Elephas maximus indicus: one gene and its partners. The protein of the gene in region 1 purifies or fractionates together with the protein of each later gene. This does not show direct contact. Links are inferred from orthologs where the notes say so. Each region holds a gene or a part of one and is shown in the gene's direction. Other genes may lie near its edges.

Region 1 (7,144 bases):
CTGACCCACTTTAGATCAACTGAACGGAATCACTGGATGAGAGGTTTAAGAACTGGTGTTTTTAACAAGCATGCCAGGTTATTCATTAAGCACTTAAGTTTGAGAACCACTGCTCTAAGCTCTGTGTCAAGGAAGAACGGGAGTGATGGGGTGAGGCTGCTGGCTTCTGAGAAAGCACCCAGGGCTGAATGGTGAGAAGGCCTGACAGAACAGACAAAAGTTGCTGCAGGAATTAAAAGGAAGGAGAGAAAAGTGTGTGAGCTGTAGCCGGGGTAGAGGGTTCATGGAGAGAATAGTGGAATGCAGATTCGCTTTTGGGGATCAAGAGCCTAGAGAAGGTAACTAAGACCATGTGGATGGATTAGGTTTCTGCTGATGTCAGAATTTTTATATTATTAGCATTCAAATGCTATTTAAAGCTTTTCCCTCCTCTATTTTTTTTTTTTTTATACTACAGGTCTTTTAAGATTTATAGAGGGCCACCTACAGGGAGACCACTGCATTAGTTTCTGTAAGAGAATCTAAGAGCTTATCACATACTTGAAGCTACACAAAATAAATCTGTGATTGACACCTAAGAGTGACTACAAAGTAACATACAAATAAGTGAATATTCACTCATTTAACAAAAATTCATTGTGTCCATTATGTACTGGACACTTTTCTAGACTCCACAGGTTTATCAGAAAGGTGACCTGGGAGAGTTTAAAGGCAGATTTTGTAAAGTGGTGACGACAGAGATTGGCAGACACTTACGGCACTCTCAGTAAGGATTTGGAGTCACAGAGTTCAGGAAGAGGGTACATGGCTTCATTCATTCGACATGCCACAAATATTTATTGAGTGTGTTATTTGTTTCAGAGATGTTGTAAGCACTGAAAATACACCCGTAAGAAAAACAGGCAAAATCCCTGTCTTCTTTGAGCTTGTATTCTATTGGGAGAAAGAGAGAAAATAAAAGTCAACAAATTGTATAGTATATCAAACCAAAAACCAAACCCATTGCTGTCAAATCAATTCCAAAAAGAACTGAGCTATAGGATTTCCAAGGAGCGGCTGGTGGATTCAAATTGTTGATGAATGTTTAGCAGCCATAGCTCTTAACCACTGCGCCACCAGGGCTGTGTATACTGTATTAGAAAGCAATAAGTGCTCTAGAGGAAACTAAAGCAGGAAGAGAGAGAGGATTTGGGGGAAAGAAGGGGAGTTGTAACATCAAAGATTATCTTTAGGAAGACCTCATTAAAAGAAGACATTTGAACAAAGATTTAAAGTAGGTTGAGGGTGGATATAGAGTGGACAAGTGTTTCAGACATAGGGGCAGCACGTGCAAACTCCCAGAAGAAGAAGCCTGCCTGGAATGTTCCAGGAACAGCAAAGACCCAGTGTGTGTGTGGAATGAAGAAGGGGAGAGTAATGGGATAGGCAGTAGGTAGAATAAGAGGATAAAAGAGGTAAAGAGAAAGTCAGCAAACCATCTAAGGTGGTGCAGGCCTTTGAAAGGACTTTGGCTTTTATGTTAAGTGGGATGGGAGTCACTGGGAAGCTGGGAGCATAGGAGAGAACATGATCTGACTTGAAGGACATGTCACATTTTAGCTTGTGAACTTGGACCCAACATTTAACCTCTTTAACTGGTTTCCTCTTTGGCATCTTAAATCCACCAGCTGCTCCCTGGAAACCTTATGGGGCAGTTCTATTCTGTCTTGTAGGGTCGCTATGAGTTGGAATCGACTTCATGGCAATGTTTTTTTTTTTTTTTCTGTAAAATAGAGAAAAAATATTCTACTTCATGAGGTTTGTTTTGACCATTAAAGAAGATACACGTACAACATTTAGCGCATAGTTGACATAGAGGAGGCACATTCCCTGCCTTCCTTCTTCTGCCTCTTCTACCTGATGCCTGAGTGTTAAGAAAGTGAGACAGGAATAAGCCTTGCAGATCACAGCCCATATAAAGGGTAGGAGTCAGAATCGACTTGACGGCACTGGGTTTGGTTTTTTTTTTTTAAAGGGTAGGAAAAGAAGAAATAAGGAAGAAAAGTTGGCCTTATAAGGCCTTGGTTAACAGACAGAAGAGTTGGGATTTAAGACAATTGTTTTATTGGTGGTGTATGTTTTGGACTAGAGGGACAGAACTGGAAGTACTCAGATGGGTCTATATTAAGTATAGGTGCTGGTCTGCCACACCTCAATCTTAAAAACTCTCCCAATTTACCTTTCTAGGTAATTAATCAGAGCCCTGGGGACACAGTGTTTAAGAGCTACAGCTGGCAGTTCGAATCCACCCAGCCACTCCTTGGAAACCCTATGTTGTTTTTGTTGTTACGTGCCATCCAGTCAGTTCCAACTCATAGAGGCCCTACGTACTACAGAATGAAACACTGCCTGGTCCTGTGCCAGCCTCACAATCGGTGTTATGCATAAGCCCATTGTTGCAGCCACTGTATCAATCCATTTCATTGAGGGTCTTGCTCTTTTTCGCTGACTCTCTGTTTACCAAGCATGATGTCCTTCTCCAGGGACTCTCTCCTGACAACATGACCAAAGTATGTGAGACACAGTCTCGACATCCATTCTTCTAAGGAGCATTCTAGTTGTACTTCTTCCAAGGCGATTTGTTTGTTCTTTTGGCAGTACACGTTATATTCAATATTCTTCTCCAAAACCGCAATTCAAAGGTATCAGTTCTTCTTTGGTCTTGCTTATTCATCATCCAGCTTTCACATGCATAGGAGGTGACTGAAAACACCATAGCTTGGGTCAGTCACACCTTAGTCTCCACGGTGACATCTTTGCTTTTCAACACTTTAAAGAGGTCTTTCGCAGCAGATTTGCTGAATGCAATGCATCTTTTGACTTCTTGACTGCTGCTGCCATCAATATTGATTGTGGATCCAAATAAAATGAAATCCTTGACAACTTCAATCTTTTCCCCTATGGGGCAGTTCTATTCTGTCCTATAGGTTCGTAGAGTTGGAATCGGCTGGAGAGCAAGGGGCTTTTTTTTGTTTTGTTTTTTAAGTAGTTAATCAGCACAGTCGCTGGGTTTGTTAGCATATTTAGTTGCTCCACTGTTAATGTGTTTATTCTGTGAAGGTTAACTAAATAATCTTCAGTCTTCTAATTAAAATCTCAATGATTGTCCTTTAATCTATCAAGGGCACTTTTACTTCAAAACAGCTTGTCTTCTGCTAAGGCTTCCATGACCAATGGGTACATCTGAGGTGCCAGTTTGGAGAGACATTGTGATGTCTCCAAAATGCCAAGAAAAGTCAGCTCCATCCCGTAAAATTAATGATGAAAGCATTGTTTGGGCCTGGAGCTAGGTTCCCAGCACCAGAACGTCTATGCCGATCAGGGATTAACCAGAAAGAGCGGTATGCACTGGTTTACAGTAAGCAAGGTACGCACAGGCTTAATTGCGTTTACTTGCTAATCTGTAGTGCACAATTTCACCACGTAAAACCAGCTGAAATTGTGCACTACAGATTAGTAAATGAGCATAATTAAGCCCGTGAGTGCGTTGCTTATTGGGTAATCCGCCCCCCGTGCTGATAAAATCAGGTAGCGACCTGGTTGCCCCGGGGTGAACTGTCTGCTTCTCTCTGAGTCGCCAAAGTCGCTTTCCATATTTGGTGATTGCATATTTATTTACATACAATAAATGATAGTAACTGAAAGTGCACAGCAATAGGCCTACCCCAGGGTGTGGCGAAATTTTCGTAGCTTCCCCGTGCAGATCTGATAGTGGTGCAGTGGGGTGTCTTATAGTGTCTCTGGTGTGCACGCAGCCAACCGCGAGCCTGTGCGAGTCGGAATCTGCCAACGAGCCGGCCGCTCAGACACGGGAGCCTGGGCTGGGGGCGGCCCGCCGCGTGGGCCCGGCATCCCCCCCTCCCTGCGGAGGCACCGCCCACGCCGCCCCGGCCCTCCTCCTCCGCAGCCCCAGCCCCCTCCTCCACCACCCCAGACCCTCCTTCCAACGCTCGATGGGCCCCCACCCTCCTCCGTCGGCCCGCCCCCTCCGCGGCCGCCAGCCCGTCCCCCGCCCTCCTCGGTCGGCCCGCCCCCTCCTGCTCCCCGGCGGCGCTCGCAGGCTCCCTCTCTTCCCTCTTCCCACACCGCCCTCGACTGCTCCCTCCCCGCACGCCCGCCAGAAGAGGAATCGAGCGCGGAACGCATCGATAGCTCTGCCCTCTGCGGCCGCCCGGCCCCGAACTCATCGGTGTGCTCGGAGCTCGATTTCCCTAGGCGGCGGCCGCGGCGGCGGAGGCAGCAGCAGCGGCAGCGGTAGCGGCGGTGGCGGCTGCTCGGCCAGTACTCCCGGTCCCCGCCATTTCGGACTGGGAGCGAGCGCGGCGCAGGCAGTGAAGGCGGCGGTGGGGGCCAGAGGCACGGCGGCTCCCAGGTGCGGGAGAGAGGTACGGAGCGGACCACCCCTCTGGGCCCTTGCCCGAGTCCCGACCCTCTGCGCCGGCGCCGGGCGGGGCCGGCGGCGAGTGAATGAATTAGGGGTCCCAGGAGGGCCGAGGAGGGGGCGCCGGCGCGGAGCCCGGGCGTGCGGGGGGTGGTCTGCAGGGGGAGTTGCGGGGACGCGGCGACGCGGGGAGTGAGGAATGGGCGGTGTGGGGCTGAAGAGGGTGAGGCTAGAGGCGGCCGCCGCTTCTGCTGCTTCCTGGACGGGGAACCCCTTCCTTCCTCCTCCCCGAGAGCTGCGGCTGGAGGCGGCCGAGGAGAAACTCGCGGGCCGGGCCGGCTGCCTCTCGGGGCGGTCCGGTGCGGTGGAGATTACTCCTGTAGCGCCCCGGTGTCCCCACCCCCTCGTTGTCCTTCCCTATCCCTCTCTCTCTTTGCTCCCGCACCTTTTCCTCTGTTCCCTGGCGCTCGACTGCCTTGGTTTCTGTCTTCTCTGCTGTATCTAGCATCCCTAGGGCGAAGGTATAAACTCTTTCGAGTGCAGGCTGGATGGATAGTGGGCCTTTTCAGTGTGTAGAGGGATGTGTGGTTAAGAGGGGAGGTCAGGTTTTGGAAGAGCATAGAAAAGTGCTTAGAGACCACCGTTTGAGGTTATTGTGTTTGGAAAAAAATGCATCTGCAGCCGAGTTCCTGACTGCTCCCCTCCCCCATGTATGGGCTGTGACATTGCTGTGGCCACAAAGGAGGAGGTGGAGATAGAGACGGTGGTGGAAGAACAGGTGGCCAACACCCTACATGTAAAGTATGAGGCTGTGACCTACAGTGAAAAGGAAAAAGTTAATCGCAGAAGGTCCGTTTTGCTTTATTAAATTAAAACACACGGAGAAAACCTTTAGAACACAAGCAAGGCTTTTTCGTTGCTAGTTGAGTGATGCAGACAGCAAATTACAAGTACAAGCAAATTAAACTTTCAGTTTAATTTGCTTGTACTTGTCCTTTCCCTCTGTCTCTTCTGTATTACTTTTATCGTTACAAATTTGTTGCCTACCCCAAGAGTTACGACAGTACTCCGTTTAACAGCACTCCTACGTTTTTTTTTTTTTAACTGGCTTATAAGAGAAGTTGATTGTAGCAGTAGACTAACTGCCTGAAATACTCTTAGGCATGTGCATGGTATAGCTGAAGTTTTAATCTAGCCTTCTTAAATCTCGATATCCATCAAAACAAGAGGTTAAGGACAGAAAGGTATTTTTCGATTTTTACACACTATACATGCTATGGAGCCCTTGTGGCGTAGTGGTTAAGAGCTATAGCTGCTAACCAAAAGGTTGGGAGTTCGAATCCACTAGCTGCTCCTTGGAAACCTTATGGGGCGGTTCTACTCTGTCGTATAGGGGCGCTATGAGTCGGAATCGACTTGACAGCAATGTTTTTTTTTTTTTTTTAATCTTTTATTGTGACTGTAGGGTTGCTATGAGTCAAAATTGACTCGACAGCAAGGAGTTTGGTTTTGGTATACATGTTATGTTTTCAATGAAAAAAATGACTTAAAATTGTAAAGAGAAAAAAGTCTATTTGTAACCGTCATCTCAGAATTAACCGTATGACTGGTGTCACTTTTAGGTGACTTAAGATCCAAAATGCTGACTTGAACATGTGACAGACTTATGGACATCAGTTATGGTTGATGTCAATACTGTTTACTTTGAGGCTGTAGCCATCTACAGGAGTACTTGGTTTTAAGAGAACTGATAAATAGTAATTTGTTTTTATGACAAAAGTGAACTTTTTATTTTATTTTTTTGCTTAACAAAAATTGTTGAGGTCTAGTCCCAGTTTTACCCCTTGTTAGCTTCTGTAAGTTTGGATGAGGGAGGCCCTTCTGGTCTGTGCCTTTCAATAAGATTACTTTGGAACTCATTTTTTTCTAGTGGATTTAAATATTACTTGGTTATTATTCTTTAAGGGTCCATCTCCCCAGAAACAAACACTGCATAAACAAGTAGATTCCAAGATGTATGTCTTTGAATTCGCACATGCATGTACTACTAAACTCTAATACGATACTTGCCCACACTGTCTTCTAGGCTAGCAAGCTTTTTTGGTCTTAGGACCTCTTTATGCTCCTAAAAATTGTTGACGATCTCAAAAAGCTTTGATTTCTGTGGGATGTATCAGTATTTACTATACTAGAAAGTGAAACTGAAAAAATTTTTAAATTATTCATTTAGAAATAGAAAGAAATTCTTTATGAAAAATAACTATTTTCCAAAACCCAAACAAAAATTATTGAGAAGAGTAGCATTGTTTCACACTTGTGCAAATCTCTTTAATGTTCCGGTTATTAAAAGACATCTGGATTCTCATATCTGTGTCTGCATTCAATCAGTTGCAATCACACATCTGGAAAACTCTATACACTTGTCAAAGAATGGGAGTGAAAAGGGCAAGTAACATCTTATTATTATTAGGAAAATAGTTTTGACCTCTTGGACCCCAAAATGTCTTAGGAACCCCAAGGGGTTCTCAGACCACATTTTGAGAACTGTTGTTCTAGGTTATCCACAGTGGGGTTTTTTTTGGTGGGCAGTGGGGAGAGTGGAGCTACAGGATACATTTTGGTGTGATTCCCCTCCTCTTCTCCCATTTGGACACATCATTTGAAAAACCATTTGCTAGAAAACGACATCATGTTTGATAAAATCGAAGTTCAGCAAAAATGAGG
Region 2 (7,968 bases), on another chromosome or scaffold:
AAATTTATATGTTAGTGTTTTCTCTTATGTTTTTGCCTAATAGTGAAAATATTAGACAATAAATGAATAAGATTGTGTCATAATTTTATTATTATTTCTTACTTGCTAACTGGGTTACAACTTTATTAAATCAGTGGTTCGATTGGGGAATTCACATCATTTACCTATGAATTTTTTTTTTTATTACTATTCAGGTATTTAGAGACTTGACAATCTTGGTATATCCTGACTATATGGTATTATGTCTTAAGATTATTATGTATTATATCTGAAGCTCTTTGGAAATAAGGTTAACCATTATTTTTAGTATTATTTTTTATCTAACGTGTTTTAACTGATTTTATTTGGCCTTTACATTATGCTTGTAATTAATTTCTATCAAGTGTTTCACAATTAAGAGTGTTATTTATATAAGTTAATTATGGCCATATTCAGTTTTGTCATCTGCAGATAAGTGTTTACTTTGCTGATTTGCTGAAAACATTTGACCAAATTTCTCAACAAAAAGATGGACTGTATTGGACTTGTGAAAAGGACTGTGACTAGACTGAATAAAATTTCCAGAACTCTTATGCAGAGGCTGATGGGCTTACAGACCAGCTGAAACAGAAATTAACTACATAAGATTGAGTAAAGGATACTATGGGTTTTATGTGGGAATGTTGTTGATGCTTTAAGGTTCTACTTTCTAGATATAAGAAATTGTTTTCTTTCTCCTAAATTATCTAACTAATGGGTTTGGATATTTTAACTGTTGAATTAGAAGTTCCTGTTGGTAAACTTAGCAAAGTTGTAAATATAAATTTCTGAAGTTGGAGCTATAATTTTATAAAATAGAACAGCATTTCCTATTAGTCTCTCAAGGAACAGTTTTGTGCCTTAACGGATAAATGTTGCTATATTTATTTAAATACACAACCTGAGGTTTTGCAGAATGTAGTTGCTACTGAGACAACATGAAAAGCAGTTACTGATGCGGCTTATGCATAAATAAACCCCTCATGAAATTTGTTTTCTTGGTTCAAAGACCTTAGGGTCATGGTTTCATTAGTTATTTCAGACAGTTGGCCTCATACTATTGTTAGTGTTTCTATTCTACTTCCTAGTTCGCTGTATGGTGCCTGGGATCTTAAAAACCAGATGGTGCCCAATTACTGTTTATTGAGCATTTTTGATCAAAGATTCTATAGCAAGATCATGATCCAAAGGAGGGAACCATGAAAGAGTTATAATTCTTCTGGAATCCAGATTTCTGGCTTTCATGGAGGTTAGAGTAACCCATAATAGGAAATGCTGTTCTATTTCATATTTTAAAATTATAGCTCCAACTTCAGACATTTATATTTACAACTTTGCTATTGCCTTTGGGTGTCATTTTGAACCTTGAGCTTTGAGGAAAAAAAGGGTTCCTTGAAGAATTCAGTCTTTTGGGGAAACTGACTCCAAAGATTAGACTGAGAGTTACGTTTAGGGTAAATCAGTAATCCGTTTAATTAGTCTTCAAGACAGTCTAACGTTTATAATCAAACTCTCACCCTCTTACTATGTAGAAATTTATGTATCTTAAAGAAACCAGGTTCTCAGAGGAGGTCGACCTCATGGTTCAGACTCCATATTGTCTTAGGCTCCACTTTTGCTTCTGAGAAAGTGACTCATGACTGTTAATAGATAAACCAAAGAGGGGCAGCCTGCACTCAGGAAGAACACTTATTATGTTTTAAAGAGATTAACTGACGATCTCCAACAGGTGAGGTCCATCCTCTATTATCTTGCTAATCGTGAATTTTCTAATTCTCTGTTTGTCACATGTAAATTTTTCTATATTTTCTGTTTTCTCCAGACAAACTTTGTGTCTCCTTGTGGATATATGTTTTTATGTGGTAGAGCCAACTATACTAGTTTAGATGACTCCTTTCCAATTGATAGTGAATTTACGTGGGCAATCTCTTGTTTAGATCTCTGGTGAATGCATGGGCAATGCACTTTGGGAATGTTAGGATTACCTTTAGATATTCATAGTAATGATGCCAGTAAATATTGGAAAGGTAATGTTAAACTGTTATACATTGTAAAATGAAAGTCAGATGAAAACTCATTGGTTTAGCGCTCAGGGTATTGTTGGTAGCTTTAATTCCTACTTATGGTATAGTTGAATTGGAGAAATCTTTAAGAAATTTATCAATCACTATGCAACTAATAGATGAAGTTGCTAATGGGGTGGAAACACAACAGCAATCTCTGACCTCATAAGCCAAGGTGACATGAGATAATGGAATAGCCTTAGATTTTTTTATTGGTCCAAGAAAGTGTAATCTGTGCTGTAGCAAATACCTCTTGTTTCATTTGGATAAATAACACAGGAGAAGTAGAACAGGATATACATAGAATTAGACAGGCTACTTGGTTACACACTGTAATACCCTTACAAATACCAGATTTATTTAGTTGGTTACCATCAGGAATAAGTACATGGGCTAGATCACTATTGCAAGGGATAGTAATATTTTTAGTCTGTATCCTGATAGTATTATGCATAATAAAATTTATCTTCTATTGTCTTACACACCTAAAAGCCAAAAGGAGGCCTCGAGCTAAAATGTTGATGTACATTTAGTCTGCTTACTTCAGCAACGCAATTAATGAGAACGTTGCTCTTACTTAAGATTCTGGTGAAGAACCAGATGGTATCTGGTGGAAAACCAGCACTGTGAGTTTAAAGAGCCTACCATGGCCGCCATCTAGGAGCTCCACTAAGTCCAGGTATTGATCATCGATGTCTTATCTCCAACTTCCAATCAAAAGGAGGGAATGATTTAGTAGATGATATTGGAGCCATTATTCCTTGTCCTGGAATGTGACTCAGCTGGAGCTGGACTCACAAGGACTGTTGTAGGGGAAAAAACATCACAAAGTTTAGTAACCCAAAAAGAAAGCTTTATTTGGCATATATTCAAAAAGACAAAAGTGGGAAGCAGACAAGCATGCTGCCAGAGCTAATAATGTCTGCCCCAAGCTGGAGGAAGGCTACATTAGTAACATTACAAAAATGGGTAGAATCGTTGAAAGCTTCACCTTTTCACAGATTGGCTAGAAACTGTGGTATTACATTTTGAATTGCTTTTCTTAATAATCATTGGTATAGGTTTCAGTAACTGACAGTCAGAAGGGTCTTCATTGGTCCAACAAATATCTACTCACTAAATGTTAATAGAAAAAGGTAAGAGTGCAAAGTCTTTTGTGTTTTGTTTGATTGGCTTTATGTAAAAAGTTCCCTAAAAGATATTTTTCTTCCCTAAAAGATAATTTCTAAGATTGCTCTATCTATTGTCTTTATCTCTGGGCCCAGCGCATGTGTCCTTGTGACTCTTTGTGGGCCCAGCTTCAGCTGGGTAACATTCTCTATGCTCAAGGACAGGGAATAATAATCCCAATATTATTTTCTAAATTAAGACCCACAAAGACTCACAAGGACACATAAACTGGGCCCTGAGGCATAAAGACAATGGCTAGGACAATCTTGGAACACATCTTTTAGGGAATCTTCCACATAAGCTAGTAAAACAGCACAGAAGACCCATATGGTTTCCATTGTTACCTTTTTCTACTAGCATTTAGTGAATAGTAAGATTTGTTAGGCCAATGATGACCCTCCTATCATTACTGAAGCCTAGACCAATGATTGTTAAGAAAGACACTTCAAAATATAGGATCACGGTTTCTAGCCCATTTGTGAAAAGGTAAAACTTTTAATGGTTTTGCCTATTTGTAATGTTAATATATACTGATGATTCTGCATTGTTCTTTGGACAGACATGGCTCTAGCAGCAGGCATGTCTATTTTCCCACTTTATTCTGTAATATTTGCTTGGAGTTTGGGCAGACAAGGCCCTAACAGTATGCTTGTCCTTTTCCCACTTTTGCCTCTTTGCATATATGCCAAATAAAACTTTTCTTTTTGCTTTACTAAACTTTGTGATTTTTTTTTTTTCCCTACAACAAGCCATTCCCAGAGACTATCTTTTAGCCAGACCATAGACAGGCCCACAAAATAAAAACACTAGAGAGGAACATGCTCCTTAGAACAACCAATTGAACTAAATCAAAAGGGCAATATCTGCCCACAGGGATAGATGAGAAGGCAGGGAGGGGTAAAAAATCAGGACGAAAGGAAATGGGGAACCTAGGGAGGAAATGGGGAGAGTCCTGACACATCGTGGGGAATTAAACCAATGCTATTTTTTATGGAACATTTTATGCACAAACTATCAAATGGGAAACTAATTTGCTCTGTAAACTGTAACCCAATGCACAATTAAAAAAACAAAATCATAAGGCTTTTAATTCAGGGAATTGACTACAGAGCCCTGGTTTTTAAATCACAAATCCAAGGAGTGACATGATCACATTTCAATAAGATTCCCTTCAGCTATAGTGGAAGGAATGGATGGGAGATGGAAAACAGCTCAGCCAATAATCGGAATAATAAAGCGGCTTTATATTTTTATCCAAGGTACAGAAACCAGGGATACTAGTCATCTGGCAGACGCTGCGGTGACTGGGACGATTTGAGAAGTATTTAGATACTTCTCTCAGGGCTTGGTGTGTAGTTCCCAGGATGTCCTCCGTGAGCGACAGCGAGGACCCTTAATCTGGTTTGCGCTTTAAGGGCACAGCGCGCAAGGGGTCCTAGAAGTAAAGGAATCCCGGCCCCCATTGAGATCATAAATTAATTGAGGACTTTGGGCTTGAGGGCGGCCGAGAGTGCATCCCACTCTCCGACCTCAGCCGTTGGTGGCGGCAGTGATGACTGGGGGCGATTAGTACTATCTGCGACCACTCCCGCCCCTCAGCGAGGGGAAGTGCTGAGTCATTCTGGCGAGGCGCGATGGGACCCGACTGCGAGTGGGGCAGATTCCCCCTCCCTCTCCTCCTCCTGCACCCCCGGCCCACGCCGACTCTCGCGAGAGCCCAAGAAACTATAAAGGCAGCGCCCCACGCAAGCTCCGCAAATTCTTTTCCTGGCTGATCTTGGTGCCTTCTGTTTTGCAACTGGTGAGTCTCTAGGTAGCTTGGCCTCGCGAACCCCCCCACCTGTTGCTACTTTCTGCTCTCTTGCTTTTCTCCGGGGCTCACATAGTCTCTGTTGGAGGCGCCGTGACCGGCGAGGCGGCCCGCGGGGGCCTGGCGCCTGAAAGTGTTTGGGCGGTCCCCTCACCCCGCGTTGCGCATCTCCTTGTGCTTTCGGGGACTGGTTGAGCCCCGAGGCTTACACCCGCTCCAGTCTCTTTCCCTCGAGCAAAGTGTGCTGGTTGGCTTGGCGCGCGGCTGGGTGAGGCGGCGTGGGAGCTCCACGGCTAGCCTCCTGCGAGGCAGGGCGGGTTCGGGAAGCTTCTGGAGTGGACCTAGAACCAGAGCTGTGGCTGCAGAAGGTTACCCGTAATCGGTCTTTGTGTGGTAGAGGTGAAAGCGGCCCCGGTCTTCAGCTGTGATTTGCTGTGAGGTTTTCCCAAATTCCCTCGCTGAAGAATGCGCAATCTTTTCTGCTGGCGATTTCCGAACTACTAGGATGAGGGTGACGTTGGGAGCGGCAAGAAGGTACCTGAACTGGGCTTTGCAGGCGTGGCCCTCTCTAGGGGGTTTGGGAGCGTGTCTCCTGAGGGCGCCGCACCGACCGGAAGTCCAGCAGACTTTCCTCTTGGTTGGTCGGGCTTTTGTGGTGTTGGGGTCACCTGGAAAAACAGGTTTGGACGAGAAGCCTGTTTCTCTTAGGGCCACACCCCGTCGCCAAGTTGCAGCGTACCTTACGGTTTCTTTGTTAAAGGGTGTTAAAATAGTTTTTATTTTATACAGGCTGTGAAACCTTTGCGAAGATCGATTCTAGGCATGCGCACAACGTTTCCTTTGATTGTATTATGAACCGAGAACTTTGGGCATTACGGGAAAATTAGTTTCTTAGGGTTTTCAAACCGGTAACTTAATTGAGTTAAATCTTAACTCCTTATCTTGGTATTGATCTGGGCGAATCCAATGCATTAAACTGAACTCTTGATGGCACTGATTTTTCTTCCGGGATCTCGGCCCCGAGGCCAGACACCCATTTTGAAAAGACTTCTAGGGCTAAATCCAATACCTAAAGTTTTTAAATTGAGCAGATGCCAGAATCTTGGTCTGGATTGGCTTTAGGGCGTGTGCTTTCTTGGGCACATCCACCTGGAGAAAGTTCCAGTGCACTTTACATCTTATAGATGGAGGTGCAGTCGGCAGAAAGGCAACATGAGGGCTTGTGGGAGTCAGGCAATCAGCGTTGGTGGCTTTGTGCATTGTGTACTTGGGTTCTGGTTTGAGAGTCTCTACCTTATCCCTCCCTTCTCGGTGCTTCTGTATAATGAAAAGGCAGAAGAAAATGCCGGTTCATAATGTCTCAGAAAAGGTGACTTCGACTTACTAAAAAATTGTCCTTTTTAGATGAAAACAAAGACTGAGATTTCAGAGACTTTTGTAACATCTGGGTTTGGTCCAGAAATTAGAAAGCTCAGATTGTGGCCCTTCCATTGTGACTCTTGGCTGCTGGCTTGCATTACTAATGATAAAAATTTTGTGTTCAGGACCACTGGACCTGATTGTTCTTGGTTCTACCACTAAGTCCCTAAGTAGGTGAGAGCTACCTTGTATCTAAAAAGACAAGACTTGTTTTTAATTCATTTTCTTTTATCTTTTCCAGCTGATAACAAGATGTCTTCAGGAGCTGCTAAAATTGGGCACCCTGCCCCCAACTTCAAAGCTACAGCCGTTATGCCAGATGGTCAGTTCAAAGATATCAGCTTGTCTGACTACAAAGGTAAGAGTAATTACATGGGATTCATTATAATGGAATTATGATCCAGAGATAACTTGTTAAATTTTGGTATCTGTTACATTTGATTCTAAAATTCTTTGTATCTCCCAGGACAAGGCCTTTAGGGCAGGATTCTGTTACCTTTATGCTGAAGCAAAAGAGTGATGATCAGTGTTTACAGAATAGATATTGTAGGTTCAGACTTCTTCTGGAGAAGGCACATGCTTCATTATATGTAACCATATTAGGTCAATTTGATTTTCTCAGTACTTCTGAATTGTTTTCATTATCATCTCTTCTGTTAAGACGCCTGGCCAGGCCCAGTGGTTAAGAGCTTGCCTGCTAACCAAAAGGTTGGGAGTTCAAATCCACTAGCCCCTCCTGGAAACCCTGTGGAGCAGTTCTACTCTGTCCTGTAGGGTTGCTGGTGAGTCGGAATCAACTTGATGTCAACGGGTTTGCTTTTTTTGCTATATTCTCAAGTCTTTGGGCTATGATACAGCTTAGTGGTCATTTGTGAAATGTGTGTGTCACAGCCATTACGTTATTAGGCAGAGGGCTCAGGCCCATTCCCTTGACTGTTTTTGCCGCCCCCGCCCCCCCGCGCCAGAGAAGAGTTGATGTCACAGCTGAAACAACTCCCCTTAGTTACGTGCAGACACTTGGCAGTCTCTAATGAGGCCATTCCTTTCTTGCAGTCCCAGAGCACCTGGGTCTTCTGGGATAAAGATTTCTTAGAATGCAAACCTCGAACTCAAGTGTACTTCCCTTAGTGGTGTAGTAATTGGTTCTTGGAGTTGGCTTTTGGGTAGAACTTTTAACTAGGTTTCCTAACACGTCGCACTTGTTCGATGGTGATGAGAGCAAGTAAGTGGGGCCCTGTGGAGGGAAGCTTCTCCTGACAAAGTAAGTAACACCAGAGGTACGTGACCCTGGCCCAAGAGTATAGGCATTAGGTCTAGGAGGAGCAGCTCTCTGCCCTCCAGGGCTTGATCTGCTGAGGCTTCAAAGTGCTTGTTAGGTAAAGCCCTGGAGGAGTTATTTAGATGAGTCAGCTTCTAGTTACTTTCCTTTTCAAAGTAAATGTCAAAAAAAAAGGCTACCTGGGAATAAAGTAAATGTTTGGAGTTGTT
Region 3 (7,199 bases), on another chromosome or scaffold:
GGAGTTTTAAGAGGAAGTTGTAGAAAATGTGTATTTAGTCTCCAGTGCTTAACCCCGGTGGCATAGTGGTTAAGAGCTATGGCTGTAAACCAAAAGGTCGGCAGTTCAAATCCACCAGGCGTTCCTTGGAAACCCTATGAGGCAGTTCTACTCTGTCTTATAGGGTCGCTACGAGTCGGAATCGACTGGACGGCAACGGGTTTGGTTTTTTTTCTGGGGAGGGGGAGGTTTAGACTGTACTTTCATGAACTCCTAATTGTAGTTCTTGAATCACTTTGATATAAAAAATAACATTTCTGAGGCCTTTGCCCTTAGAATTTATTCTCTTGATGTAGGGCTCACTTTTTTTCTCCCTCTTCTGACCCTACCTTTAGCCCCTCCATTTTTTGGTTCTTTGTGGCTCTTCCACTAGAGTAATCTTCAAGTATGAAGATTCACATGTAAACTGAACAGTAGGTGTTCTCTTTGCTTAAATGGTCATATTGCAGCTCCTGCCATCTGTGCCCATATGAGGTGAATCATCCACATTAATGATTGAAAATGACAGTCCTTCTTGAATTTTAAAGATTTTTTTATTTTGAATTTGAAAAATATAAAAAGAATTCAGAAGGATATGTACATATATGTATTCCTGCCTCTTCCATTGCTGTCAAGTCCATTCTGACTCATAGTGACCTTATAGGACAGACTCAGACTGCTCCAGATGGTTTCCAAGGCTGTAAATCTTTATAGAAGCAGACTGCCACATCTTTCTCCCATGGAGCAACTGGTGGGTTCAAACTGCTGACCTTTTGATTAGCAGCCGAGCGCTTAACCACTGTGCTTGGGTTCCTTTTCCTGCTTCTAGTGCATTGCATTTCCTTTGCCTGGCATGTTGGGCACGAACTCTTTTTGTGTGATAGAAGTCAAGGTGACAAAGAATTGGCAGATCTTGAGCAACTTAATGCCTAAAAGTCTCAGTTTCTTCAACTAGAAGATTGACATTATAAAACATACCTCTCGAGATCCTTGTGGGGAGTCAATAAGATAATGTATGACAGCACAGGGCACTGGATTGGAGTTCCAGTGGGCATTTGCAAGACAAAAGTAGAGATCACTGAATCTTGTATCATTTAGAATTACATGTAAACAAAAAACAACAAATGTAAACAGGTGGGGTTTAAATAAGATAGACTTAGTTCTCTCTGGAGTCTCTGGGCGGTACAAATGGTTAATGAACTCAGCTGCTGATCAAAAGGCTGGAAGTTCAAGTTCACCCAGAAGTACCTTGGAATAAAGACTTGATGATCTACTTCCAAAAAATCAGCCATTGAAAAACCCCATGTTGCACATTTCTACTCTGATGTACATTGGGCCGTCATGAGTTGGAATCAACTTGATGGCAACTGGTTATTTATTTCTCTCTGGCCTAAATTTAAGCCCCATGGTAGGCAGTCTTTGGCTATGATAGCAGTCTCTGGGTGTTCTGAACTCTAGTTTCCTTCTGGTGTTTAACTCCAGCTATCATCAATGGGGTATGACTCTCAGCTTCTAGGTTCAAGATAGTTACTGGAGCACCAAGCCATCCCATATACATTCTAAGCTGCAAGATAGAGGTAGTAACAAAGAAGGAGAGGGAGAAGGAGGAGAAAAAGGAGGAGAAGAAAGAGGAGGAGGAAGAAAAGGAGGAGGAGGAGGAAGAGAAAGAGGAGGAGGAAGAGGAAGGGTGAGGGGGAGAGGGAGGAGGAGGAAGAGGAAGGGTGAGGGGGAGAGGGAGGAGGAGGAAGTAGTAAAGGGTATGTGCTAGCTGTCTTCTGAGAAAGTTTCCTAGAAGCTGCCACTCAGTATTTTTGTTTCCATTTCATTGACCAGAATGTATTCACATGGCTACACTAAACTGCAAGAAAAGCTGTCTTTATGCCCGGAAGCGAAGTGCCCAGCTAAAAGTCGTAGATTCTATTAGGAGGCAGAAGGGAGTACTGCATATTGCAGTAGGCCACATCTCCACTCTCCCCTCTCTTATGCTACCTTCCCAACAACTGTGAAACAAAAAAACCCACCTGGCCTACCTCCTCAGTTTTCCTCATTTTGGTGAATGAAACCATAATTCACCTTACCATAAAATAAGAAACTTTACCCACCCAAACCAGTGGATCACTAATCACTACATCCTGTCAATTCTGACTCCTAAATATCTCTTCAGTATTTCATCCTTCGTAACCAATCCCTACTGCCTCTTCCTTTCTTCTGGCCCTTGAAACGTTGACTACTGTTATATGAATTTACTTCTGACTCTTGAAATGTTTATTAGTATTATGTAAATACTAGCATTCTAAATGGGCTCCCTTCTCAAGTCATACCCTGCCTCTAATCACTCTCCTACACAGCCCACTCTCCGGCAATCTTTTTAAATGTAAATTTCTGTTATCCTTCTCCTTAAAACTCTTCAATGGCACCATGTTACAGAATTAAAGGCTGAAATCAGTAAGACATACACAAGCCTTGGCTCAGCCCCTACTTACCTTTCCAGCTTCATTTTCTCTTGTTCCCACTCAGGCAGGCAGAATAATGCCCACCCCCCTACCAAAGATGCCCATGTCCTAATCCCCAGAATCTGTGACTATGTTATGTTACATGGCAAAGGAGCATGAAGGTTGCAGATGAAACTCACGTTGTTAATCAGTTGACCATAGAGAGATTATCTTGGATTTTCTAGGAGGCAGAATAGTCAGTGTCAGAGCGATCAAATGTGAAAGACTCACTGGCCATTGCTGGCTTTGAAAATGGGAGGAGGCCACAGGCCAAGGAATCGACTGCACGGCACCTGACAGCAATACTTGGGGGCTCTTTGTCACTTAATAACTATGTCACACTCCATGTATCTTGCTTGGCACACAAAGGTTCAATAAATGGAAGCCATTATAATTTTTTTGTATTGCCACCTGAGTGAGGCCCCTTAAGGCAATTATCAGGGCCTATCGACTCGACGGCACTGGGTTTTTGTTTGGATTTATATTTATGGAAACCCTGGTGGCCTAATGGTCAGGTGCTACAGGCTGCTAACCAAAAGGTTGACGGTTAGAATCCACCAGGCGCTCCTTGGAAACCCTATGGGGCAGTTCTACCCTGTCCTATAGGGTCACTATAAGTTGGAATCGACTCGACGGCCAATGTGTTTGGTTTTGGTTTTATTGGTATTTATCTATAAAATGTTTAGTTACCTTCACTCCTAGTCCGATAGAAAACATTTTTAAAAAGCTAACATTTTAACTGAGAAGGCAACGCATAATGTATATCAAACTTAAAATGTGTGCACTGAGGTAAAATTAAAATATCTGCAGTCGAGGGAGGGAAGGGGGCCAGGCGTTTCGCCTTGGTCGGAAACTCTGCCGCGCTTTTTGCGCTCTTTCACATTGCCTCGGGCTCGATTTGCGCAGGACAACGTGTCAAGTGTTTTAGCTTAACCGCACGTCGGGCCCACTGTAAACGGTTAATAACTGCCTTTCTGGACCAGGCCTCTACCCTCCATCTTTATACGGAGGAAAGGCGCCTACGCCAAGTGTAGCAACCAGGCCTAGAGGCGACGGGTAAACCTAGGCCCCCAACCCCAACAGTCAAGTTTTCAAAAAGCCCGCGCGTGGCGCCCCAGGCCGCATCCGTTGAGAACGGCCCCCAGCGCGCCTCCGCTCCCTCCCCCGCCAAACCCCCGGCTGGAAGAAGCGTAGGAGCGGAAAGCAGACTCCGCACACAGGGGGCGCCGGGCCCATCGCGCGTCAGGGTGCGCGTCCGTCCAGCGGCTCCGGAAAACGGAAGTGGGTGCGAGGAGATTGCTGTGATTGGCTAAACTGCCATGTCTCTCAAGGGGCTGGCGCGAACGCCACTGCGGAGTTGGGCGAAGGGAACAGGAAAGGGGAGGGGGCGAGTCACCGGGAACAGCTGCGGGGCTGGGAGGAAATGAATCGTGGAGACGCGTCAAGCGCAGGGAGAGTTCCTCTTCAGGGCACATAGGACACCAGAGAGTGGAAACGGGGCGGTACAGGTGGTGGCAGGAGCCACTAGGTCGAGGGATTGAATAGACCGCGGAGGGCGGGAAGCCCGTGGTAGAGAGCGGCGCTGCGGCGCAGGAGGTGGGACTAACAAGAGCAAGGCGGGGATTGGCGGTCAGCCCTAGGCAGCCGTACGTCGGCGGTGACGCACACCTCGGGGAGGGTGCGCGCGCGTTCAGCGGCCTCTTTGTGTGGTGCCCAGATAGGGGAGCGGAGGTGGCGGCGGCGGTAGCGGCTGCCTTGGTTGTCTTCCAGTTTCCTCAGCTCGCCCTCTAGCCGGCACCTCTCCCCTTCCCTCCCCTTTCCTTTTTTCCTTCCTTCCCTCCCCTTCCCTTCTTCCCTTCCCCGTCGGTGACCGGCGGTGGTGGCTCCAGCGAAGGCTGGGCCCAAGCTTTGAAGAGGCCTTAGCCAACGATAACGGCGACGGCGAAACCTCGGAGCTCGCAGGGCGGGGGGAAGGCCCGTGCCGTGGAGATGGAGAATTCTCAGTTGTGTAAGCTGTTTATCGGCGGCCTCAACGTGCAGACGAGTGAGTCGGGCCTACGCGGCCACTTTGAGGCCTTCGGCACTCTGACGGACTGCGTGGTGGTGGTGAACCCCCAGACCAAGCGCTCCCGTTGCTTCGGCTTCGTGACCTACTCCAATGTGGAGGAGGCCGATGCCGCCATGGCTGCCTCGCCCCACGCCGTGGACGGCAACACGGTGGAGCTGAAGCGGGCGGTGTCCCGGGAGGATTCGGCGCGGCCCGGCGCCCACGCCAAGGTTAAGAAGCTCTTTGTAGGGGGCCTTAAGGGAGACGTGGCCGAGGGCGACTTGATCGAGCATTTCTCGCAGTTTGGCACCGTGGAAAAGGCCGAGATTATTGCCGACAAGCAGTCTGGCAAGAAGCGTGGTTTCGGCTTCGTGTATTTCCAGAATCACGACGCGGCAGACAAGGCCGCGGTGGTTAAGTTCCATCCGATCCAGGGCCATCGCGTAGAGGTGAAGAAGGCCGTCCCCAAGGAGGATATCCACTCCGGTGGGGGCGGAGGCGGCTCCCGGTCCTCTCGGGGCGGCCGAGGCGGCCGAGGTCGCGGCGGCGGTCGAGACCAGAACGGCCTGTCCAAGGGCGGCGGCGGCGGCGGCTACAACAGCTACGGTGGCTACGGCGGCGGCGGTGGCGGCGGCGGCTACAATGCCTACGGAGGCGGCGGCGGCGGTTCGTCCTACGGTGGAAGCGACTACGGTAACGGTTTCGGCGGCTTCGGCAGCTACAGCCAACATCAGTCCTCGTATGGGCCCATGAAGAGCGGCGGCGGCGGCGGGGGAGGAGGCAGCAGCTGGGGCGGTCGCAGTAACAGTGGACCTTACAGAGGCGGCTATGGCGGTGGGGGTGGCTATGGAGGCAGTTCCTTCTAAAAAAAAAAAATTTAAAAATGCCTGGGAGTGGCTATAGGGGTAGCTCTTTCAACAACCCAAATGGGGTCAACTCCTAAGTCCCTTCCCTTTCCCACCGCCTTCCCCATTTTGCCCTCGTGGGAGCCGCTAAGGCTGCCTCCCCTTGGGGGTGTTGCCCTATTTGCCTGCCACCTCTCTTGTCTCTCCCTCTGAAGATGGACTCGGCCCCACATACACATTTTTGTGTTACAGTCATTGATGGACTCTATTTTTTTATTATTACTTGGACCTTGGTCGTTTTTATACTAGCAAAATGTCTTGTTTTAATTTGTGTTTTTTTTGGGGGGGGGAGGGAGTGAACTTGCTGATTCTGTAGCAAAACCTGGGTGGGGGTTGGGGTGGGGGGTAGTTTACTTTGTTGTAAGGACTTGATACCTGGCTGCATCGTTTTCTATGAAATCTACTGGGATCCCATGCCTGAAATTTGGAAGCATATGTACAAAAATCATTTTTACGTTTTATTTTTAATAAATCATTGTGTTTGACCGTATAAGTCTAACCTTTTTTTCCTAGGATCCATTCCGTACTGTTTTGAGGAATATTAGTTGAAGGTTTTTCGTGTTAATTTTTAATTCTTGATGTGTGCTTAGAGAAACTTTTAAGAAGTCCTGTGGGTTTTTTTTTTTTTTTTTCCTGTTGCCCTGCTAGTGGCTGTTGAATTTTATCCCTTAACAGGCAAAACTTTTGAAGTGGTGGATGTGGCTTTTTAAACTCTTTTTAAGTTTCTATGCATCCATCTCTTGTACTTAGCGATTTGCTTGTCATCTTGACATGGTTGGTCACTTATTTCTATGAGAATTTACTTCAAAGTATGTATTGTGTAGTTCTAAAGAAATAGTTTGTGTTAAGCATGTGTTTTCATTCATATAAACTGTTTAAAAATTTTCTGATGGCCTAGTTTCAGCCCTCTTATTGGTTTGTAGGTAATGAATGGTTACAAATAAGGGTTATATTTTACCCTGAAACTAATGCGTTTTTGTATTTTCAGAGCAGGTTTAAACGTTTTTTTTTTTTTTTTTTTCCTCCTGTACCTGAACCGTTGTCCTCATGGAAATCCTTTCCCCCAACCTTTGTAGCACCATCTACTGGCAGAATGGCAGTATATCTGCAAAACAATTTGTTAAAAAACTTGCTTAGGACAATTGCATCAGATTTGGATGTTTTACCATCAAAAGTCTGTGCTGACTTGGAAGTTACACATTTACTTGTAATTGAAATGGGCTTCACAGAATGTAGTTAACAATCTGTATCACAGTTGCCCTTTCTACATGAGTTTTGAAAATGTACTGCTATGCATAGCTTGGGTAATAGCCCCAAATTGCTATGACAACAAATGAGCCAGCTACATGTACTGGTATCTTAGGTGCAAGTTGTAAAACAAAATATGTGTACTCTGCTTGGTTAACAAATGTATATTTGTAGCCCTTTCATGCAATAGAATTCAAGTTGTTGTTTATAAAAAAAAAAAAAAAAAGAACAATGATAATAGGAAAAAATTGCCTTCCTGGATAGAAATATAGAATAGCAACGTTTATGGATATCACAAATAAAGAATTCAATTCTTTACATGATTGAGTGAGACTATGTATAACATGGTGGGTGGGTTCAGAGTATTTATTAATCTAGTATGTTTAACTTAATGTCATAATAAATTATTTGACTTAGATCTTGCAGTCAAAAGCCTGAACCTATACCAAGAAGCCTTCTGAAAGGGAGATTATTGGGCTTGGAGGTATT
Region 4 (7,231 bases), on another chromosome or scaffold:
CCCAATGATGAACCAAGGCTTGGGAACTATCACCTTATATCCCAAAACCCATTTGTTTGGGTCTGCAGCAAACAGCAAGAGGCTAAGTGGAAAGCCATGACCTTTGGACTGGATTCCTAATTTCGCAATTTATCAGCCACATGGCCTTGAATACATTTCATCTCCTTTGAGTCAGTTTTTCATTAGAGAAATCTGTGCTCACAATGTTACGATATTCACAGCAACATTATCTAGCTGTGCCTGGGGCAGAGTAGGAAATTGGTGACCCTCTTGGGTGCTGTAAGAAAAATGAGATTTTAGTCATAATTCTTTTATCTAAATCCTGTGGCTAAATCCATATACATGGGAGGTATATACTAACTACACACATACACAACATACATAAATTTTTTTTTTTTTTTTTACATAGCACACTATTATTCCCTGCCGCTTATAATTTCCAAGTCCACTCAACATAAATGGAAAACAACTTTAAGATCACAAAATAGTTCATAAGAAACTAAAACTAAAAAATAAATTTTGCCCTTTTAAGACAGAAATAGCTAGTAGCTGGTAGTCAGTTTAGGGGCTGTTATAATCAGCTCTGATACAATACTATCTGGGTTCAAATCCTAACGCTACTGATACCACTAAGAAACACCAGAGCAGGATATTTAACCACTTCTGTGACTCAGTTTCCTTATGTGTTAAATTCAACAAATTATTAGATGTCAAAGTCCCAAGAAAAAGGAGCCCTGATGGTGCAATGATTAAGCACTCAGCTGTTCAAAGGTTGGCAATTCAATTCCACCAGTCACTCTGTGGGAGAAAGATGTAGCAGTCTGCCCTGTAAAGACTGCAGCCTAGGAAACCCTATGGGGCAGTTCTACTAACAGCACACAAGTGCTGGACAGGAGACATTGGGTGGCACAAATGGTTACTCAACTACCATCTGAAAGGTTGATGGTTCAAAGCCAGAGGTACCTCAGAAGACAGGCCTGCGGGTCTACTCTGTAAAAGTCACCGCCTTGAAAACCTTATGGAGCAGTTGTATCGTGCACATCCTGGGTTGCCATGAGTGAGACTTACTTGACAACCAGGAGCCAGGCATTGTTAGGTACCACCCACCACCCTTACCACAGGTGATTATCCCAAGGATTAACTAATGTAATGTATATCAAGTGTTTAAAGTATCTATCTGACACAGTAGCAAAGAGAAAACTTAAAAGTATCAAGTTTTCAAGCACAGCCTCTGAAGGCGTGCCAACTGCTATGACTAAACCGTGGCTTTGTTACTTCCCGCTGAATGACCTTGTTATTAATCCTTCTGTACCTCAGCTTCTTCATCTGCAAAATGGAACAGTACTTAGAGCTCCTATGTCAACAATATATGCACAGCACCTACAACAGCAGTCAGCAACCTAGAAAATGCTTACTAGTGTTAGCTATCATTATCACACGGTGCCTAGTCTGACATTCAAAAAGCACTGTCAATGTTAGCTAATGTATCCTGCCTTGGATTTTTTTTTTTTTTTGGCCAAATAAATTACAAACTAGAAACGTTCATGTCACTAAATAAATTTTGCAAAACCTTGAAAACATAGTTTCTAGGAGTTAAGAACAGTACTTTACCATTACAAGCCTGTTATGTTGTTTATATATTTTAAACTGTAAGTGTGAACCCATTGATTTTTATCAGCATGATTTATGTAATAAAGCTACATTAAGTGTGAAAATGCCTCTATCTAAAAAACAACCTTGTTCCCCAGAATTCTCTATGGGTTACTGGGAGAAAAAAAAAGCATATACCACAGAACCCTAAAGTCACTAAACAAAAATCAACCATTGATTTACATTTTTTTATTTAGAAATGTTTGTACTAGTACAGCAAAACTAAATTTTAGAGATGCTGGATATCATTAGCTTAGATATCATTAGTTTATTACAAAAAAAAAAACATGGAGATTATTTACATGATGAAAGATTTCAGAACTTCATTGGAATGGGCAGCTTCATGTGATGCCATTTCAGTATTGATTTATTTCAATCTACATACTTCCCAAGGATGTCACCATCTCTAAATAAGAAATAATCCTGTAAAAAAAAAAAAAACCGTTAGTTAAGACAGTTAACAGTAAATAAGTTCTTTTTAAAGTTACTAAGGTTACACACCTTGTCATCCAGAACTACTTTGGTGCCTCCATATTCTGGGAGAAGAACTTTATCTCCAACTTTCACGCTAACTGGCTGAATTTCTCCACCCTTAACAATATAAAGATATTTACCGTTAGCTCACCAAATGTTTACGTGTAACTTTTAAACCACTATAATCAACCATATATGCTTACTCAAAAATGTTAAAAATGCATTTAATGGGCAAATAATTTAGTTGACAACATTTTCTTTTCACCAACAGCAATATACGCTTTTACTGCTAATTCTTCAGTCATTAACATCCCCTTAAAGGGTTACACTTTTAAAACAATACACATGTCCCGACTTAAATCCCCATTTCAGTGTAAATGTTCAAGGGGTTATGCTGGAAAAGCTAACTTTAATTAACTAAAGCCAACTCCGTATTTGTTAAATATTAACCTATTAACTATACAAAATATACCAAAATGGTCATGTTTACCTTCTTACAACCTACAGAAGTTTTCTGTACTTTAAAACATAAACTTCTTTTGTAATTAATTTATTTTCCCTCCAACGTACAGATGATTTCCAGGGGAAAAAGCTGATGCAGAGGCCCAGAACTTCCCAATGCTTAACTCCAAGATAGCTTCTTGCTAGAACTTTCTCTCTTCAGAGCCATCTGGAGGATGCATTTAACATACTTCACCTCAAGGGCATTTACTGTGTATTCTGGCTGACACACTTAAGAGACCTAAGATCCAGCCACTAAATCCGAGAATACCTGGAATGGTAATTCAAACTGTTCCTTTCATAGGTATTCCAACAAAACCGCTCTAAATTCTTAAAGCCCTGGCACTTTAACTGAACCGTAATCTTTCATTTTAACTGTAATTTTAATAATCTGGAAATCACCATCCTAAAAATCTCACAATCATTTTTTGTCGAAGAAGCAGATTAAAGGTGGTTGAACCACGGAATGATTTTAAGATGGCACAGCTATTAAAAAGGCTGCTTTTAATAATAAACCATGATTTCTTATTCCACCCTTTCCCTGCGCACACAAAAAAATTTTTAGACCTCGTTTACCTTTCCTTTAGATCCGGATCCAACAGCTACTACTGTTGCTTGCAGTACTTTTCCTTGAGACTTTTCTGGAAGCATAATGCCTCCTTTGGTTACAGTTTCAGCTGCACTCCTTTCCACCAATACTCGGTCAAAGAGGGGAAGAAACTTCCTAAATGCCTGTCCTGCCTGTAGAGACGAAGTTTTTACTTGTAGCAAAAAATCACATTCTGAACAAGCAATACCAATGAAGGCGTTACATCGAAGGACACATTCTAGCTCTCAAAAATAAACACCAAAAATCATATTACTAATAGAGGAATCAAATTTCAATGTTCCACTCTACAGTCCACGTTTAATTTTCCATTCCCTGTATCTGTTAGCAGTCGTCGTTGCTCTTCCAGTCAGTAACTGTACCAGCTTTAAGGGCAATTTCAGCTTATTTCAAGGTCAAGTATTTTCCTGCCGCAGGTTTTTCTGGAAATTTTCAGGAAATGTAGACAATCCCCCTTCCTGGGTCATGCTCTTTCTCCAACAGATTACACAAAGACCCAGCGGAGAAGTAAACTGGCCGCCCCGCGTGTCTGGGTTCCCGCCCCCTTCCCCACACTCATGCTGCAACAGGACACGTGCGAGAACAGCCCTCGGCGTTGGGAAGGGTAGGCTAGGCCCTTGCCTTCCGGCTCGGACGACTTCTCCTTGAGGGTCTCCTCTATCCACGGTCCAGGCGAGTGGCGGACACTAAGTCACCCCTGCCTCTCCGGCCAGGCCCCAACGGGGCTCTCCGGGCTCTCCATGCGCCTCAGACCGACCCAGCCCCGCCAGCCTCCAGCCCACACGGGACTCACCATAGTTCTGGTAGCTGCAGCCCCTACCCAGCTTCGCTACGCCGCCGCAAGGAGAGGCCTGCAATCTGGCCCTCGGGACACGTGAAAGTGGGAAAAGAGCGGCCAGCGCGCAGGCGCGGTCTCCCGGCCCCCGCCCCACCCTGCGAGGGGGCGGTCGCACCTGCGCGTGCAGCGATTCGTCTGAGAGCGCTGCGCAGGCCGCTGACGCGAGGATCTGGAGGCGGAAGAATTGAGCAGTTCTTTCTAGGCTTTTCTAGGCCACCCGAAGAGGTGAAGGAACTATCCCTCCGTACCCCCCCCGGAAATGATGCAATTTAACCCTTGACCTACAGAAAGCGCGGTGCTTTCCGGAAAGTTCTGGAACCGAGCGCGGCCCGGGAACTAGCCTAGCGGACTGGACGGGGCCGAGCCCGCTGGCCTGGCCCTGCGCGCGTAGGAAGGGGCGGGCTTCGCGCGCGGTGCGTACAGATTGCAGGGCCCGGCCCGGGGGAGGGGGCGGGAGTCGCCCACACGTGTGGTGCGGCGGGGCGGGGGGAACGGCAGGGGGAGGGGACACGGGCTCATTGCCGTGTGCGTCCTGCACTCTGTCCCTCACTCGCCGCTGACGGCCTGTCTCTCTGCGCTCTCGCTCGGCCCGCCGCCCCGCAGGTACGCGGGCCGCCTCACCCTGATGCCTCCGACCCCAAATCTTTGCTTCGTCGGCTGCGGCCCGGCCTCAGTGTGGCCGGCGGAGCGAGAGCCAGGAGTTCCCCGCGGCGTTGCAGGCCTGGTCCGACTGGGCCAGGCCTCACTAGTCTATGTGGGCTCTCATCACGTGCGGCACTGAGCGCGGGCCTGGGCAGGACGCGGGAGGGAGGGCTCATTCCGCGGGTAGAGTCTGCGGGGCGGGGGAGGGGAAGGGTTGTGTTCACGTGGGCCTTCTGGTGCAACCCGCTCGTGGCCGACGGTGGTCGCTGCCGCGTGGGAACCGAGTTCAGTTCCGGGGGCAGTAGGGGTACGGCGCTTCCACCCTTGACCTTGCTGGGGGTGTTCTGATGGACAGATACCTGGGGTCGCGCGGAGTGGGCCGGGTGGCCCCCGCCAGCATCGCGGTCTTGCTAGCTGGTCTGATACAGTAGCCGCGGGTGGATACATGAAATCCGTTTTTCCTGAGCGGATTTCTGCAACGTCAGGAATATTTTCACTTCCCTAGTCGCTCTGGTGTATAACGTGCTTCTCTCCAGCTGGCTTGGATTTTTAGGAGCGCCAATGGAGGGGATTTGTTTAGAGGGCCAATTTAGCTGTGAAACATTACCTCGTTTTTAGCGGCAGGAGAAGGTGGTCATGGAGAAGGAAATGGGTGTTCTTTGTGTTTGTGTTACAGAGCAGGCACTATTGAGCCTTTTGATTTAAGCTTTTGCTAGTAGCTGGTGTTCTGAAGCCGTGGCGCGTTCTGTGGCTAGCAGAGGTCATACTTAACGTTTCTTATTTATTGCACAGGTGGCGTGTTTTGAGCTGCAGCGCACCTCGAGTAGTGCTAGTACTCATCTGCTTTTTTTCTCCTCCAGAAATGCTCCGATTACCTGCAGTCCTTCGACAAATGAGGCCAGTATCCAGGGTACTGGCTTCTCATCTCACTCGGGCTTATGCCAAAGATGTAAAATTTGGTGCAGATGCCCGAGCCTTAATGCTTCAAGGAGTAGATCTTTTAGCTGATGCTGTAGCCGTTACTATGGGGCCAAAGGTATCAGTATTTTATTTTAATTATGATATTTGAGGAATGATATCTTACTGTTGCAGATAGATACACTGAACTATGTAGTGTTACTTTGGTATCCATTTTTTGAGAAAACCAAATTTACATTAAAAAGTTACAAATTATTGGTTAATTTTTTTGTCCTTAACTGTAAAGGTCATAAAACCTAGTGTTTCAGCCAAAGTTTCAAAAATAATTTGCATAGTGTGTGATGTAATGGAGTGGTAATTCATAGCTCAAGATGGATTCTTAAACTCAAGATGGAACTCATATCGCATGCTTGTTCACTTACATTTTGGACCTTTTTCCAGTAGTTAGTGCTGGGTATAGAGGGCAGAGTGTAACTTTTTATCTCCCATAATACCTAAAGTATGTGCTTGTATGCTAGTTTTACCGAGAGTTTTTCTGCTATTCTTGTTCTAAAGCACATTTATAGTTTAAAATCTTATTTGACTAAATAGTTTCAGAGGTAATAAACATCTAGAGGAGGCCTTTGACGGTGGTGTGTGGTTGAGTGGTGTTCCATTTTAGATTGAAGACAGTTCAGATACCAAAGTAATCCAAACTGTAAAACACAGGCATTTGCATGCCTCATGAATAGAAAGTAGCAACGTCGGTGGGTTCAAATCCCAAACCTGCCAGTACTACTTGTGCCGGATTTGAGGTTTAATGTTAAATAAGCTTGGATGGAGCTTATTGTTCTTGCCTTGATAAGTAAATTTTAAAGTGAGTACTTGTTCTGAAGATACTAGGCACTAAGCACAATTTAGGTACAAATAATGTGAAGAATGTTCTAAAATTTCATTAATGGTCTACCAATTTGGTATTGATTTATTGTTCATTATATAAAATGACATCTTTTAGTTGTTAGAATCTTTATTTCTCATAATACCTTATCAAAAATTATGTATTTGGCTGAGTAACAGAGGTTATTTGCCTATGAACTGACTGTTGACCTTGTCCTTGAGATTCATGCTGCAGGACTGATGAAAAGGACACATCATGCGTTGAGGCTTTCAAGTAACTGTCCTATTATTAAGATTGTTCATTCTGTTTTAGTCTAATTACTAAGAGTATATGGCCCTGTCTTTTTTTCCCCTTCTCTGGGATTCTAGGGAAGAACAGTGATAATTGAACAGAGTTGGGGAAGTCCCAAAGTAACAAAAGATGGTGTAACCGTTGCAAAGTCCATTGACTTAAAGGATAAATACAAGAATATTGGGGCCAAACTGGTTCAGGATGTTGCCAATAACACGAATGAAGAGGCAGGGGATGGCACCACCACAGCTACTGTCCTGGCACGCTCTATTGCCAAGGAAGGCTTTGAGAAGATTAGCAAAGGTGCTAACCCAGTGGAAATCAGGAGAGGTAGGAATGTCTTTTTATTTATCAAAGTGTCTTGATAATACGGTGTTGGTTCCCAGGACCTAAGGAAAGTGCTTGTTAAAAAATTGATTCCTCCTCTTTACTA

The links.
Region 2: the proteins of KRAS (region 1) and PRDX1 purify together in Homo sapiens (affinity purification with mass spectrometry; 3 studies listed by BioGRID and IntAct, with this or other methods). This does not show direct contact. The link is inferred for Elephas maximus indicus from reciprocal best matches to the Homo sapiens genes KRAS and PRDX1.
Region 3: the proteins of KRAS (region 1) and HNRNPA0 purify together in Homo sapiens (affinity purification with mass spectrometry; 3 studies listed by BioGRID and IntAct, with this or other methods). This does not show direct contact. The link is inferred for Elephas maximus indicus from reciprocal best matches to the Homo sapiens genes KRAS and HNRNPA0.
Region 4: the proteins of KRAS (region 1) and HSPD1 purify together in Homo sapiens (affinity purification with mass spectrometry; 3 studies listed by BioGRID and IntAct, with this or other methods). This does not show direct contact. The link is inferred for Elephas maximus indicus from reciprocal best matches to the Homo sapiens genes KRAS and HSPD1.

The regions. Positions count from the first base shown.
Region 1 is NC_064822.1:83,951,808-83,958,951, reverse strand, and holds the start of KRAS (GTPase KRas), read left to right. Parts: upstream 1-4,140; 5' UTR 4,141-4,411; exon of another isoform or gene 4,412-4,424; intron 4,425-7,144. UniProt on the Homo sapiens protein: Ras proteins bind GDP/GTP and possess intrinsic GTPase activity. Plays an important role in the regulation of cell proliferation.
Region 2 is NC_064821.1:87,927,539-87,935,506, reverse strand, and holds the start of PRDX1 (peroxiredoxin-1), read left to right. Parts: upstream 1-4,951; 5' UTR 4,952-5,052; intron 5,053-6,721; 5' UTR 6,722-6,732; coding exon 6,733-6,838; intron 6,839-7,968. UniProt on the Homo sapiens protein: Thiol-specific peroxidase that catalyzes the reduction of hydrogen peroxide and organic hydroperoxides to water and alcohols, respectively.
Region 3 is NC_064820.1:150,740,621-150,747,819, reverse strand, and holds HNRNPA0 (heterogeneous nuclear ribonucleoprotein A0), read left to right. Parts: upstream 1-4,192; 5' UTR 4,193-4,499; coding exon 4,500-5,423; 3' UTR 5,424-7,031; downstream 7,032-7,199. UniProt on the Homo sapiens protein: mRNA-binding component of ribonucleosomes. Specifically binds AU-rich element (ARE)-containing mRNAs. Involved in post-transcriptional regulation of cytokines mRNAs.
Region 4 is NC_064824.1:95,839,837-95,847,067, reverse strand, and holds the start of HSPD1 (60 kDa heat shock protein, mitochondrial), read left to right. Parts: upstream 1-4,231; 5' UTR 4,232-4,295; intron 4,296-4,390; exon of another isoform or gene 4,391-4,483; intron 4,484-4,582; exon of another isoform or gene 4,583-4,673; intron 4,674-4,956; exon of another isoform or gene 4,957-5,019; intron 5,020-5,572; 5' UTR 5,573-5,574; coding exon 5,575-5,748; intron 5,749-6,875; coding exon 6,876-7,128; intron 7,129-7,231. Other genes in the region: MOB4 (MOB-like protein phocein), read right to left, coding at 3,202-3,366, 4,026-4,028. UniProt on the Homo sapiens protein: Chaperonin implicated in mitochondrial protein import and macromolecular assembly. Together with Hsp10, facilitates the correct folding of imported proteins.